2 linked regions of the Oreochromis niloticus genome follow. The protein of the gene in region 1 interacts with the protein of each later gene in a pairwise test. Links are inferred from orthologs where the notes say so. Each region holds a gene or a part of one and is shown on either strand. Other genes may lie near its edges. The genes, in order: myf5 and id1.

Region 1 (8,685 bases):
CTGGATAAGCAGCACTAAAAGAATGTGTTGTTTAGCAAGATTAATGTAACATAACAACAACAAAAAAGAGTAAAATAAGAAAAAAAAATTGTGCAATCAGATAATTACAACTGATGCATTTACGCAAAAGTAGCATGGTAATACTTTAGATGATCCAAGTGGAGCTGTATCAGATTTGTGTGGTTTACATTAAATTCTGGTTTTACGTGATAATATGTTTTTGAAATTCTTACCTTTCTGATAAATGAACTGATACATTATTACAGCTTTCCAGCTCATTCCTTGAAAACCAGCTTTCTTAGTGCATGATCAAAGACATGATGGAGTATGACACATATGTGACCCCCTCCACCTCCGCCGCCTCCTCCTCTTCAGTCACACAATACATGCAATTAGAGGCCATTTGTTCTTAACTCTTGTGTTGATGGTGTAATCAAGGGTGTTAATGATGACTCACGTTTGGTAGGAAGGAACAAACAGGTATACACACACACACACACACACACACAGAGTGCAGCTTTACACTTCACGAGGACAGAGACACAAAAATGAGTTTAGAGATGTTTTTGAATTTTTTCCTTTATTTACACAGTTGTCTGTTTTTATTGAATCATTTCTGTGATCCAGGAAAGACACCACGTATTTGGCTTTTACAGTGCTGTACTGACTCATCAGCAAACAGGCTACATGAATGATTATAGCAGGGTAAAAATGATAAACGATATCAGATGACCTCTATCAGTGATCCTGACACCTTGTTAGCTGAAGAAAACTCCAAGATGTCCGGGACACTCCACGCGTGAGGCACATAATAAATAACTTGGCCTTTTATTTTGACAGTTTTTTTGGACTGCTAATCATGATTCTGCAAATGAATATAAATCTGCCATCGTAAGGAATAATTTAACTGTTCTAGAAACAATCTTTTTTAAAACCTTAAAAAAGCCAAAGAGATCAAAAGATAAAAAGTGAAATGACAGCAGTCGCTTTCAGCATCAGTGAATTGTTCATTATTAATTCACTTTTGCTGCAAAGCTCTATTAAAGTGAGGGAGATTCATGCTAATCAGGATTTTCAAATTTTTTTTGCAGACATTTTATTTTTCGGTCTCCAAAATTTCAGCGTAGCATCTGCTTAACTAGAAAAAAACTGGTTTCTAAATACAAAAAAAGTAGAAAAAAGACCAAAGAACAAAACAGGGGATGTAACAGTGTAGCACAACACTCCTTCAATTCAGTTCACTTTTTATTCATGTATATATAGTGCCAATAAAAGCAACATTAGTCATTTCATGACACTTTACAATAAAAAATAAAAATAAAAAAAATTAAAAAGTGGGGATAAAAGAACTCCCTTTTAACAGGACGAAACCTGCTAAAACTCACACTCAACTGAACTGAACTGCTTAAATACCATTTCTTTTTTGAATAATGCAACATTACATCAGCTGTTACAATTAAATATGTCTCACTGGGGATAATAGAAAGTATAGAATAAATGGGCATTTACATTATATATTTACAATCTCATGTACAGTACAAAAGCTGGCCGCCGCGCGTCCCTCAGGTTCTGCTGGGTTTTCCTCCCACTTGCCCAAAACTAGTTCTTATCGCTTTTGGTTGCAAATGCAGCTGGTGTTGGGTAAAAGCACGGCGCCCGCCTGAGGCAATATATATTCACATCAAAGCAAGGTTTCCTTCACAGGACGTGGTAGACGGGCCTGGATCCGGGGCTCTCCGGTGTGCAGGGCTGTGAGTCAGAGCTGCCGGGGGAGAAGCTGGACGTGTTTCTAAGGCCAGCCGGCCCACAGCTGCTGGACTCCACCGAGGACAGGCGGTCCACGATACTGGACAGGCACTCCAGACTGGACGCTCCGGCTGCTTTATCATCCACGCTATCTGATGAAGAGGATCCCAAATTCAAATTAGCCAAGTCTGGATCATACAGCTGATACATGTTATATAAGCTGACTTTAAGGCCTCAAATTAAAGATGGAACCTTAATAAAATAAAGTCTAAATATAACATAATCTGCTGTTCAGGTATTAGTTTTTAAAGCCCTGCAGGCAAGAATTCACATTATATTCATATCAAACTGCTGCTTAAGTTAAAAGGTCTTACTGTTCTTTGCATATGAATAGCCGTTGCTGTAGTTTGCATTCAGCTGTTGCCACACTGGACTGTTGCTGTCAGCCTGAAAGGAAATGAGAAATTGAATTTACCCTTGAATTCCTTCAAATACTTGCAAACAGACAGATATGATAAGCTGCTTGTTTAAACCGCTGTGTTATATTGGATAGGAAGAAAACACCCAGTGCAGTGCCCGCCATATATTCCGGACAGGCTAATAAATCCTGAATTCCAAAGTTATTGGCTTCTTTATTTCACATGCACCTTAAAGCCAAAGTGGTTTTTTGTGCCCTCCCCTCCCCGGCCCGACTCCGAGTGTAGCGAATCGATTGTATCAGTGGAAGCAACACCAGTTTGTGCAAGATGACACTTTCTCCTAGTAAATCTGCAGAAAATCCTGGCAGCGGTGCAGAACATGCAGTCAGGATGGAATGCAGAAAAGCGCCCAGTTTTGCCTGCCAGACTTCAGTAAGGTGGATTTAGCTTGGTTTAATGGGGCTATAAAGTGTCCGGTGGTGGGAAAGCCATTAGTCCAATCCAGCGTTATAAGTTGTTTTTGTATTATCTGATGCAAAGTCACCTTCAAACAGAGATTCAATATGACCTGTAATAATAAGCATCGCAAGCAGAGGACGGAGATTCTTGTAAGACAACATAATAGATGTTTGTATTACGGAATTATGGGAGGTGTTTGTCATGCATGGAAAACCATGATAATTATGGTCTTGAGGCAAAGCAAGCTCATTTGATTAACAGGTTGCTAAAGTGGAAATCAGGGTTCTGCATTGAAATAAAAAACTTGATAAGGTAAAGGGAACTGATAGAAGTGGTCTTGTTCAACACTGATGATGACTTTAGCAGTAAACAACAATAAAGACCTTTTCCAGGATTTACTGTGCAGTGGTTCTAATTTTTTTGCTGCTCAAGACCCTGATAAAACCAGGCACTTGCATAAAGAGGCTGAAGATGGGGATCAGCGGTCTTACCATGCCATCAGAGCAGCTGGACAGCGGGCTTCCAGGCTCAGAGCTGCTCTCTCCAGGTAGGCCATAAAAGTTTTCCACCTGTTCTCGTAGCAGCTCCTGCAGGCTCTCGATGTACTGGATGGCGTTGCGCAGGATCTCCACCTTGGGCAGGCGCTGGCTGGGGTTGGCCGAAGTGCAACGCCTCAAAGCCTCAAAAGCGTGGTTCACCTTCTTCAGCCGCCGGCGCTCGCGCATGGTGGCAGCCCGTCTGCGATCCACAAAGCTCGACTTGCGCTTGCAGGCCTTACAGGCCCACTGGAGGCAATGTCCTGGCTGGTGGGGGGCTCCTGGAACCCTGACGTGCTCGTCCTCCTCGGAGCCAGCAAGCTCCATGCCTGGGCCAAAATCCAGGCTGTCTGGAGAGGAAGCACATGCTCTGTCATAGTAGACCTGTGATGGTGAGAAGACATCCATGGCTTGTTAAAGTCTGAATGGATGGAGATGGCCGCAAAGGAAGGAAGGAGGGTAGTAGAGTTTGGGTGAAAGAGAAGAAACCTCTGAGTGATATGAGGGGTCTGTTGCCCCAGGCCCCCCTTATATGCCCCGAGGCCAAAGCCCAGGGCCCACATTGGCCAGATCTAATTACCATGGCCCATTGGCCCAGCCAGAAGGCAGGCAGGAGTCGGCTCTTCTCCCTCCCTGCCCCATCCCAACTCGCTGCTTCTCACCCCCCAGTACCCTGTGGAGTTTCCCACATCTGCACTTACTGGTGTTTTCCCACTCATCAACACTCTTCTCTTACAAGTCCACAATTAATACAAGGCTTAGAAATGTTTAAGGGGAGTGCAGCTTTAACCAAAGCTGGCATGTTTTAAAGCGCTAATAAGTATTGTAATGTATTATTTATGCTGCATGTATCTGTAACCAGCCTTTAGGCATCATGTCATAGCGCACAGTGAAAGTGACACTTGGCTATGAAGACATGAACATCGCAGAGTGTTTTTAGTTTAGTCAAATTCTGCTGAAAAAGAGGGTGACCACTTGTTGGAGTATGCAGGGCAATTTTTACGGTGAAGACAACAGCGTTGCAGATGCAGCCCAGCTGCAAAGGAAGGTGTAGCATTTCAAGCCCTGTGAATTCACATTAGTGCGGTAAGCCCCCCCTCCAAACACTCAAACTCATCACTTAAGGTGCTGTGAATGAGCCGATCCCTGTTTGCAAAAGCTCATTAAAACAGTAATTATTGCACTGACACCACTGCACAACTCCCTGCAACATTGGGGACCAAATTTTAACCGTTAAAAGTTATTGACATGACTCAAGCACACAACAGATGGCCGTGATGGTGCAGAGGCTTTCATTCAAGGGGATGACTCAGGGATTACGGAGTGAGGATGTTTACAGTGAAGATAATTCAATATTTGTCCCTGTAGTGGCTCTCCAACTTCTTTTTTTCTGACTGATAAACATTCAAGTCCCACATCCCGCAGTTTTTAATCCATCTTTAACAATAACAAAGGATCTGAGCTGAATTTTTGAAGGCCAACACTGCAGAATCAGCAAATCAGATTCATTCTTATGTCCCTTCCTTGCGGTGCCCACCCCAATGTTTGAGGCTAATTTAACAGAATAAAAATATACAGTGAAAACGATCCAAAGCCTTTTCTCAAATTGCATTTTCCCCATATTTTAACATCTCTGTAGAGGTTAAGATTTGCAGAAACATCTAAAGATTCCGAAATAATGCTTTTCACAGTTTGACCCAGTCCAGCTGGTTTAGGTAATGATGTTGGTGACAGCTTACAAGGATACAATGCGGATATTTCTCACAATGTGTCAAAGCGTTTGGCACGACCCGCACCCCCTCCAGCCCCATCACCACTTCTCTGGGAACTGCGCACACCTAAGAAAACACCAGTACCTGCTGCTGCCTCTGAATTGCCGTCGGAGTTTGGATTAGGCACAGCTGAAGAAGACATCGGCTCGCCTGAGCTTGTAGCTAGCTGCGAAGATCAAAGGCTGTTTAGACTGAGAACAACTCGGACAATGAGAAAACCTGGCATCAGCTTAATTGAGCCGGGGGGTTAGATTAGTGCAGCACATGGCGTAATGAGACGGGGAGATGATATTGCGCGCAGGCTGGAGATGTGATCTGCGCACTCGGCTCGTCTCTGGGGAGCTCTCCGAGTTTGCTTTTTTGTTGTTCTCAAGGGTCAAAGACAGAGTTAAGTGAAGGGCAGGAGGTGATCTTTTTATGTTTCATCTGCCTCACGTCTGAAAACCTTATGTCTTCTAAACTGCCTCACGCTTTGACTTTATGCTGCTTTTTTGGTGCTGCACCATCCCCCGATAGAGAGGCAGTGCATCGCTTACATTCCTCCTCCCATTTAGCAAAATAAACGGTTTTATGGAAATCTATAAATAAATGTATTTTTATTAAATAAACCCAAACTATGCAGAGTTACAGGATCTACAGTATGAACTTGTCAGAACAGTAAAAGTACTGAGTGGCCACTTTGAATAGCATCAAAAGTTGTTGGGATTGAAAAGTGGTTTAGAGGCATTTTTGCGGGGGGGGGGGGGTACTCCTTTTTATGACAGTCCCACTGAGGGTGATTAATTAGTTTGTACAGTATGAACATAAATAAATTGCAATGGTTTCTATGCATCGGCATGTCTGCTTTTCGTTTGGATTGTTAATAACAATGTCAAAACTTTTTAAAAGGAAAAAAAAACTTGCTTTCTCGCATTACAGTCACTTTGAAATAACAGCAAAATATTCTCTATATGTAAAAATATGTAAAATGTAAGTTGAGTAATTAATGAGTGATTATGATGCAGGTAACAGTGTGAAAATTAAGTCAATCTTAAAATGCAAGTTTGTGTAAATTACAAGATTCCCATTGAGATTTATTGAACCTCTTGATGTGTTCACTTGACCCAGTGGTTCTCAGACTTTTTCTACCATGCCCCACTCCAGAGGCCAAACACAGCCCATGTCCCCTTTTCTTTCTTATTAACATTTAAGTTGAATTTTATTCAAAATAAAAATATCAAATATATATTTATTCGAGTGAGGTTAACTTCATGGCACAGAAGGAGCAAGAGGAAGTCATGGAGAGGTTGGCAGGAAGTCAGAATATCTGATCAAAATATAAAAACAACAGCAGTTTGTGCTGATTCATGTTTGTGAACATAAATATTCCCTTAAAAAAGTTCCTCTGCACGAATTTCCAACGTTATTTCAAGTCCCTGAACACAACTTCTTCTTTTTTTTTAATCATTTCACTCTTATATGCACTGATTAAGAAGAAAAAATGTCCACATTTGAAAATGGGAGGTGTGGTGGACTCCAAAGACCTAAGCTTAAAACATTCAGATCACAGTTGTTCACATATTTGTATGATTTTTAAATATGTTTTAAGTAGGAATGTGTTACTTGGTGTGTTTAGAAAAAGTAATGGTTTGGGTTAGTGCAACTATCATATATATATAAATATAATAAATAAATAAATAAATAAATACATAAAGTTTAGTTTAACTAAACTTTATTTAGTTCCTGATTTATCTATAAAAAAAAAAAAATACATGCTGACATGAAAATGGTATTGCTGGTGGGAATACCCCTTCCAATGCCCAACAGTGGGCACGTCCCTGTTATATTATCATACTGATTAGATGTTTAAAATGTTATAACCTGAAAGAAAAACTCTATTGCTCCTAACTGGGTCCTTACCTCAGTTTGCCCTACATGAAAAGCTGTGGATGAAAGGAAAAAAGCAAACAAAAGCAATCAAATAAAATCAAAATCAAAAGAAAGAACAATGGATTTTATTTTTCAAAGCGCAGTGTTTTTGGTTAAAGGCAATTTCCCACCCACATAAAATCCAAGTCCATTTTACATTCCCCACAAGAACGAAAGAAAAAAAAAATGAGTGGCAACACCATTTGTGTTGGCAGTGAGCAGAAAGAGGTGCACCGCCAGCACCGTCAGTACTGAATCCTTTCCTAGCAGGATATTCAAGGAAAGTCTGAGTAAATCAGAGCATTTCAGCCTCCAGGCTTATCCCCCCTCCTATAACAGCTCGCCTTTCATCAGCTTTAACTTTTAAAACGCTGCCTTCACAGCCAAATGACAATTATATGGTGTCATCAGTAACACCGAAATCCCCGTAAAGTCAGACAAGAGAAAGTCTGGACTTGGAGAGACCAGGGCTATTTCTGTGAGCATGCACACAGTCAGATGGTGCAAACACAACAATAAGACAATGAGGTTCAAAACACAGTGAATACAACTCTACTAACAGCACAGAAAACGTGCTTGTATTCACCACCACCCCCAAAACCCTCACACTCATCTGAGTTCTCTTTTTAAATGTGATTACTGGCCTCCATTGTAACAGATATTACATTCACAGCTACACATATGAGCTACACATCATTCACTGCTATCAGAATGAGTGAGTAGGAGCCCATTAAAATCACATTACTGTTAGCGCTATCGGATTTCTGTCTGGTTTCTACAGAAAAAAAAGGATGTTTAGTATAAGATGTATGATTGCTGAATAATACCATATTATATAGAACCTTGCATTAGTGTATGTTTACCAGCTTTAATTTAGTTTGGTTGTGGAAGTGTTAACTTCATTTTGGGAATAAAAGTACACAGTACTGTGAAAGTAATATTGCACAAACTTTTACTTTGAACCTTGAAGTATTTTTATTAATCTACACTCAAGTAGCTAAAGAAAAACCAAGAGTGTTATGCTTTATTCATAACATGCAGCTATGCATTAAATGTGGTAGAGGTGTTGTGTAGATAGGGAAACACACACTGCCCCAAAGCTAGAAAGACTAACGCAAAAAAAAAGCAACAGATGTAAAAGCGCTGCAGGTTTTCTTTGGAAATTGTCGAGCCATTACATTAAAAACAAACTCAATTCAATTACCTGGTCTAGACTAGTTAATAAATAAAAGGACATGTGTAAATGATGTGCATTAATGAGAGGAAACACTGGCATAAAATATAGAATGAAAAAAGCCTCACAGCTGTGGGAAGAAAGGTCCTTCTAATTAGCTTTGTAGAGCGTATTGGCATCCTGAACCAGTCACTCAACACACTTCAGACTACTTAAAATACATAGAACACCAAACAGACGAAGGCCTCCAAACCTCTGAACTTTCTTCCTGGTTGTTTTTAATGAATTATTGAATATATTGAAAAGGAGTCAATATATGTAGCAAAAGGTGTGTTAAAGTTAGAGGAGCGCCTCAAATTTGATTCCAAGCACACTACTTGAGTAAAATAGTTTTTCTTTGCACCTCTGCTAAAGCAAAACGTTGAGATATGCATTGTTCTCCCTTGGCTTAATATTTCATTGAGGTCTTTAACTCCTTATGAACTTGGCATATGTGCGCGAGAGACACTTTGTGTGTTCATATCTGTGTGCGGCTGCAGGCCTGAGAGATGAGGCAGAGTCTCAAAGGTCAACCACGGCTCTGTGTCATCTGCTAAGATCTGAAGGAGCGCAGCGCACCACCCCAACATCATCAACAAACACCCCTTTATCATGTCAATACAAGACTCGGT
Region 2 (7,726 bases), on another chromosome or scaffold:
ACTGTCCATGCTCCATCGTTGGGCTTTGGCTCCCATGTCCCCTGGCCGTGCTGACTGGACGCCTCTGTGCAGCTGTGGGGATGTGCAAGTTTGTGTGTGTGTGTGTGTGTGTGTGTGTGTGTGTGTGGGGGATGAAGAGAGAGGTCAGGTGACGAGCCATTTGTCTCACAACACACAGAGACACACACACAAATATGTGGCTTAACATAAGGCCTTGCTTGTCATTTCAAAGGGATGCATTCAGTTACCATGGAATCTTAAAAACAACAGAATGAGTTCCCATCTTCTCTTGAGTTCAGCAGCAGCTTTTGTTCTCACATGGCAGAAATTCATACTTTGCAAACTACAGTAAATGCATCACTTTTAAGTTCACTCTAAGGGTAAATTATGCATATGCAAACAATATGCATTTCAACAGGGATGTTCCAGGTAAAATTAGGTAACGCTGGACATGTGAGCGCAGGCAGAAGCTCTTATTTATTGTTCTCCATCTCCCGCCTGCAGCAGGGGGCAGCTGGCCAGCAGCAATCAGGCCTGTCCCCCATAGGCATCTTGTGGCAACCAGCTGAGAACAGCTGGCTTCCCCTTCTGCTACTAGCGGACCTGGACTCTGCTGGAAGTCCTGGAAAGGAGAGGGGCTTGTAAGAGCCGACAAAAAGCCAGTATTCACACACAGACAGGTTGTGCTAATGAAGAGGCCTCATTAGGCTGCATTTACAGTGTCTATAGAGGTGCGTTTGTTGTTCAGTCCAAGAAGGCAACTTCTCAGGATAAAAGAGAATCTCTTCAGCCTGTGTTTACAGTTTTACTACAGCCTCAATATAAAGTTAGTGTTAAAACATCCAAAATGGCACCTGTGTGATGTCAAACTGTTGCTAGACCGAAAGAAGTAGGGGGAGGGCTGAGGTGAAATACTTGCTAGGCGGATGGAGGGTTGGTGGGTGATGGGGATGACCACTGAACGGAAAAGGGACTCTGGTGTTATTAGATTTGCAACAAGCCGTAACACTGTCTCTCATTGTGTATCCTTCCAACCCGGCCCTCCCCCGAACCCCTAACCGTAGAGAAGACTCCCAGTCCCCCCACCCCACCCCACCTCTGAACACCCACTCCTCCCCACAACACACGCACTCCCAGCTAAAGCTCGCTCTCCAGGCAATTGCCACTGGAGTGGAAAGTATTCCAGAGCACAATGCCTATGCTCTCAATGGGTGCTTTAGCATGCCACCAGTGCGCTGTCACCAGCAGATGGGGAGCTAATTAGAAACCATTAAAGGGCTTTGATAGTGTGTGTGGGAACCAGGCGGAGGGAGATGGCCACAGGGGTGTAAAGGGGGGGGGTGAGCTTTGGGTCCGGTGAACGCACACATACACATGAAGACAACTGAGAGAAACAGATATAGAGGGACCAAGCTGTCCAATGATTCCTCTCAGGGCAAGGACGCTGAGCAGAGGACACCTGGGTGGGGGGGAACTTCAAGGATCTCCACGAGCTTCAGCTGCACACCAACTATCAGATGGAGATAGCGTTCCCGTAACCTGCCCCTGCTCTCAGGGAAGGGCGTCCATCCACCCACCCAGTCTGCTCCCTGCACACAGGAAAAACACCCAACAGGCGGTGAGGCTCCAGCCGGTCTGCACTTTTTGATGACACATCTGTGAACTGGGACTCCCACAGGAAGTGAGTCCTAACCACTGGTCCTCAGTCATTACACGGGCTGGGCTTGCCAGGGAGGTGCCAGGCCACGCCGGGGCACACGAGGATCCAGGCGGAAACACACCCACAGAAGGTGTGACGCACTATGTTTAAAAAACACAACTAAAAATCTCACACGGATCAGCACTTTCTATGTGCTGAACTTTCTATATTTTTGTGTCGAATGTGAGGAGCCTGAGGTGCCATGGGTCATCAATCAATCATCCGAGGATAGACGTGACATTGTGGTGCGGTACCACAAGTTTTTATACCTGACACCACACTCCCCCCACCCCCACCCACGCTTCTCCCTGTCCCATATGAGCCTCTCCACACACCTGCACACAGGTGTGATCATTATCAAGCAAACAGGAAGAGCCTGACTGGGAACTGGAAACTAATCCCACAGCTGCGAGGAGTGGCGTGTGCATTTGTGTGTGTATTTGTGTGTGTTTGTGTATGTTAGTGAAAATTGTTGAAAACTTAAAAGTGACACTTGCTTTTCATAATCAAATTCCTCCCTGTTTCTTTTCGACATCGTATTTGGAGAATCATACCAAAGTCAAAATCCTCTGTCCAAGAAAGCATAATTGTGCTTTGGTCACTTTCATGTTTCAGGAAGTAGTACGAGGGCTACTTATTGTCCTCGCAGCAATAATAACAGCAGCAAAAGTGTCAAAGCATTACTGGAATGTCCTATTTCCTCCCAGTGAATTCCTGCACCAACTTTTGCCCCCCCACCCACCCATGCGGCTTCCTGCGGTGTGCTTTTATAGATCTGTTTGCCGTAGCGATAAAGAGGGCGTATTAGCTAATATGTTTCCCCTCCACCGAATGGAACAACTTATCTAGGAAAAAAAAGCTACCAGAAAAGTGTTTGTGTGCTGGCATAAATGCTGCAAAGATACACCGTGTCCTTGAAAGAAAAATACCAGCGCTTCTTTTTGCCGTTTGATGACGTGCGATGCTGCAAGAGCACTGACACAAACAGTAGCCTGTCAAAAATAAAAAGTTAAAACACAGAGCCATAATCAGCTCACATATAAAGAGTCCACGGGGAAATGAATTCTGTGTCAGTGATGAAGGAGGGAAGGGGAGCGGGGAGAGAAAGAGAGGGCACTGCCATTCTGTCAGTTAAAATCAGGAGCTAATATGTTTCACTTTTCTTTCCCGTCCTCTGCCTCTTCCCTCTGTCTTCTCTCTCTCTCGCTCCCCTCGCCTTGATGTGCTGTAAACAGGCTAAAAAGGGCCCAGCTGTGTGGAGTTATTGTTGGTGTCAGTAGGAAGTGCTGATAGCTTTTGCAGCTGAACAAAAGCTGGATGAGGGGAGTGGAGGGGCGCTCCAGACACTGTGGCTCCAGCCTAGATTCTCTCCCACAATCCCTGCACCGCACTCCCATTGTTCTGCCCACCCGGCCTTCCCTCCGCCCTGTCAGCTGCGACCTAGGACAGAGGGCAAGAAAAAAAAAGGGAAAGAAAAGAAAAGACAAGAAAGTAAAGAAGAAAAAGTTTTTACAGGCTACTGCAACAGCTAGAAGTAACAGCCGGTGGTAGTTAAGTTTGTTATACTGACGTTATCTCTGGTATGGCACAACATCTGTGCAGATATAAGCAGCAGCTATAAATGGCATTTATATTAAAATGTGAAGAGAGCAAGCTGTTTATAATTTCTTCCTCCTGCAAAAGGAATGATGCAAAGCTAAGAGTTTAGTCAGTCAGCGCAAATATCAACATATAAATTATTCTTTTTTATATATATGCATTAAACCAACAATTATTGCAATTGTAAACATGAAAGTTGTTGTTAGGAATATATTGTACGGTATTATACCGATACTTGTGCAACTTTACTGCTTACTGTTCACTTTATTCGTGCATTACATTAATGCATTAGCTAGTTTTAATACCTTTGCACAGCACTTTCTCTGAAGTTTTTTTTTTTTTTTTTTTTTTTTTTTTTTACTTATTCTACGCATTCCTGCACTGGACTGTAAAACTTTTCACAAAGGGAAACCATTTATATAATGTTTTCATTATGCATCTGTTTCTTCTCCTACATATTTCTTGCAGTACTTGCTTTTACTTTCTGTTTCACGGGGATTGTTATGCAAATACCAAGGCAAATTATTTCCACCTTAAAACTTAGTTGGAAAAAAAAACTGGTTTGGATTGTTTCAGAACTTTACCTGACGTGCTCTCAGTTTTCACACCAGCTAACTTAAAACTTTATGCCTCATCTATTAAACACTGTATAAAACGTATTATTCCATTTATAAATCAACAGTAAAATATTATGTAACAATATGACGCTTAGAGCGGTCATTCTATTTGCTTAATGGCACAAATTTTCCTTTATCAGCTTTTTTTATTTCAGATTTTCTGCATTATTTGCATGACATTAGCAGACAGGAAACAGAAAGGCGTTTGATGCATGACGCATTCATACCGGTTCTCACTAACACGGTGGTCAACGGAATTCCTGCATATGTAATAGAATGCATGCATCTTTTTTTAAAATTGTAACGTAGTGAATGTCGGTCGTTTGAAGGAATGCTACAGCTAGTTTGTGTCCTAACTCCTTTGTAGCTCCGGCTGACAGCAGCTGCTCTGCAGGTGCGCGGGGCGGTAATCTCATCCCGCTGCTTTAAGGTGATAAATGAACGACAAAAGCTCCGGAGCCGGTTTGTTCTCAGGGCTCCGCGCGCCACGCAGGTGAATGGAGGAGTGCCGGAGTGCGCGCTCTCTTGTTTAACGTCTCCATGGAGACCGCCCGAGCGGCGCCAGGCTGACAGGCGTCAAGGCTCGGATGAATGGGTGACGTCACCGCAGTGGCGCCTGCCAGTCTGCTCGGGCTTGTTTGGACAATCTGGGGGGAAGATTCGGAACAGAGCGATGCGATCTGTGTGCGCACACACACACACACACACACACACAAGGCTGAGCACACACTGCAGAAACATGTGAAGGAATCCGTGAAGCCGATGCTCACACTGGTCTTCCTTCAGCGCTGAGAGCCAGGAAAAAGAGACTGCTCGTCCAAAGAAGTGCCGTTTGTGAGCATAAAGAAAGCTTTGAGTGAAGAGAGCGAGGATTTTAGGAGCGTGATTTTTTTCTAAATCGGTCAACATTGTGACATCGAATAGTAATAAGCTAATGATCGGGAAAATGGAATAAACCGCTTAACTGTTCAGACGCTGCATTCCACGCAAACCACGTAAATCTAAAAGAAAAAAAAGATACATTTTTAGAAAAGGTTACTCCTTCCCAGAATTATTCGGCCAAATGAGTTCTTTAAACTTTTACTGTACTATTGTCATCCACATCTGCAGTGGCATCAACAATTGTGAAAAGGCACTGTGGTAGCCTAATTATCATTAGCCATTCATTCCATTCATCCCGTCCCGTCCCACACGCATTCTCACAGCGCATACCCAACTATTCACCACCCTTTGACTGTCCCCAGGCAATCTACACCTGCAGAGTCCCCAAGCCGTGGACAGCTGGATTCCCACATATTACCCATAAAAGACACACATTTGTTTCCATTTGTAACGCCATCCCTCAAACAGATTGTAAATCCCGATAACCAGCCGAGCGCTGTCACTGGCTGAGAGAGAAGTTTTGAACCGCCTCCATCAATACAAACGCAGCTGCCCCATTGGCCGTCCGCCTTCAAACCGGACGATTCGGCCCCGCCTCTGGCTTCTACTTTCTTATAAAGCCGGGGAGGTTTGCCCATGTGGATGTTGCGAACTGTCAACATTGTGTTGCTATCATCCCTGAAAAAGGAGACCAACCCAACAACTCTTCTTTCTCTTACTCGTCATTTTTGGAAGCTACACTAATCAAGATGAAGGTTGTCGGATCTACCTGTGCCCTGAAGAGCAAAGGCGAGGACGTGGTGCGCTGCCTGTCCGATCAGAGCCTGACCATCTCCAAGTGCAAGATCCCGCTGCTGGACGAGCAGATGAGCGTATTCCTCCAGGACATGAACAGCTGCTACAGCAAACTGAAGGAGCTCGTGCCCACTCTGCCCACAAACAAGAAGGCTAGCAAAGTGGAGATCTTGCAGCATGTCATTGACTACATCTGGGACCTGCAGGTCGAGCTGGACGAGCCGGAGAAGAGCCGCCAGCACACCGTCAGCAGCGTGCCCCGCACGCCGCTTACCACTCTGAACGCGGAGCTTGCAAGCATCTCAGTGGAGGTAAATATCTCGCCACTCATACTGAATGAATCAGCGAATGGGCGATAGTCCAAACAGACCTGCATGCATTCAGATAAAAACATGCATATAAGTGTCGGTACGGGTGCGTAAAGTTTGCAAGCCTGTGCGTAAAAGCTCAATTTGCGCATGGATAACAACTCGTGTGCTTTAAAAAAAAATGTGTGTATATATATATATACCGGCGTTGTACTAATCAACCTACTTTCTTCTTCCCGCAGAACGGATGCTCAGATGACAGGATCATGTGTCGTTAAGAGCTCTTGGAGCATCGCCCCATCACATCACATCAACCACAGCGAGGGGATGAACAAGGCTACTTGATGTGACTTCTCGAACCGCATCAAGAATTACAACCTTGAACTGTGTAGGGACGTTTCGTACTCCCAGTGTTAGATAACAAGTTGTGTGGACATTCTGCGGCGAAGAGCCTCACTTTTGTCACTTAACGGTTCTCGATTTATAAGAGGGCCACGAGACGAGAGGAAGATGAGCAGAGAGTGTCCAGATATAGACTGGGTTAGCCAGGGGACCAAGAGAAGTTCAGCGCAACCGGCATCGCCCGTTGCTTGCAGAGTTTCTAAAGAAAGCTAAAGATTTCTGTTACTGCTCTTTGTATCTTGTGTAAACCATGTAGAGGATTCAACATTTTTTGTAAAAGATTTAAAAAGAAAAAAAAGTTAATTTCTCAGATTCCTGAGCGACAAACTGTATTGTATATTACAATGCCACAATATGTGAAGATATTGTTTTCTTACAATGTACATTATTTGGTGTTTTTATTAAAACAAGATCATTATTTTTGAACAAGATCCCTCTGTCTCACTGTGTCTGTGTGCGGGAGTGAGAAGGTATCTGACTCACATGCTATACCTGGGGAGGTTTCGTTGCTGGGAGCTGTAACTGTGAAAAATAACACTGCATGGTGATTACGCTATGATGACCGTTAAAGCCTTATTAGCATTCCAATTAATCACACGAGTACACTCATATATTCTTATTTAGGAGAGTGTAAACTAGTTGTCACAGAAAAGTGCTACACCTACTTTCAAGTAACGTAAAAACCAAAGCTGGTGGTAAACATACTGGTTCACAGCCAGTTTAATGGGTAATTTGACTCACTATAAGCCATTAAAGCATCACATTACAAGAGGAAGTCACACTTTAAATCTACACATTTAAATATCCTGACAGATAAAGTCTTGACATAAACTTTAAATTAAAACCACGCATTAGTGACACACATGTTCTGTCGAAGGTTTTCATTTATTCCCCCCATGTGTCGAATTCTGTGGCAAAGATAAGCCAACCCATTGATTAGAAAATAAAATCAAATAAATAAAAACAAAAGGCTTTTCTTCACTACATAAAACATCCATTTAAATATGGTGTTTCAATATGTTATCGTGTAAATCAGCAGTCGAAAAAATAAAAATCTGCCGGCACCGCAGGAGTTAAATGGCTTTGGCGAGGCGATTCGTTATAAGATTTATTCTGTCTCCCTGGTGCAATGTTTTTCCCATTTCCCTGCGGTGCGATGCGCACAGCTGCAGCCCCGGCGTGGCCAGTGTGTGATTGTGTTTGTGTGATAGCTTTGTGCCAAGGGCAGGGGAGGGCGGCGGGGCCCAGACTGAGCGGCGCCTCGGCACACCTGGGGAAGTTCAGGTTAAATAGCTCCACATTCCTCAACACACAGCTGATTGAAACATTAACAAACAGTAATCCACAGGCCAGGCCGCAGATGGGCCGGGAACCACGCCAACACCGAGAGAGAGAGAGAGAGAGGGAGGGGGAGAGACAGAGAG

What was found.
Region 2: the proteins of myf5 (region 1) and id1 interact in binary tests that used the Homo sapiens proteins (3 or more experiments, as listed by UniProt). The link is inferred for Oreochromis niloticus from reciprocal best matches to the Homo sapiens genes MYF5 and ID1.

Annotation. Positions count from the first base shown.
Region 1 is NC_031981.2:15,814,659-15,823,343, forward strand, and holds myf5 (myogenic factor 5), read right to left. Parts: upstream 3,667-8,685; 5' UTR 3,569-3,666; coding exon 3,116-3,568; intron 2,194-3,115; coding exon 2,121-2,193; intron 1,899-2,120; coding exon 1,699-1,898; 3' UTR 569-1,698; downstream 1-568.
Region 2 is NC_031970.2:30,956,575-30,964,300, reverse strand, and holds id1 (DNA-binding protein inhibitor ID-1), read left to right. Parts: upstream 1-5,426; 5' UTR 5,427-5,546; coding exon 5,547-5,903; intron 5,904-6,142; coding exon 6,143-6,178; 3' UTR 6,179-6,733; downstream 6,734-7,726. UniProt on the Homo sapiens protein: Transcriptional regulator (lacking a basic DNA binding domain) which negatively regulates the basic helix-loop-helix (bHLH) transcription factors by forming heterodimers and inhibiting their DNA binding and transcriptional activity.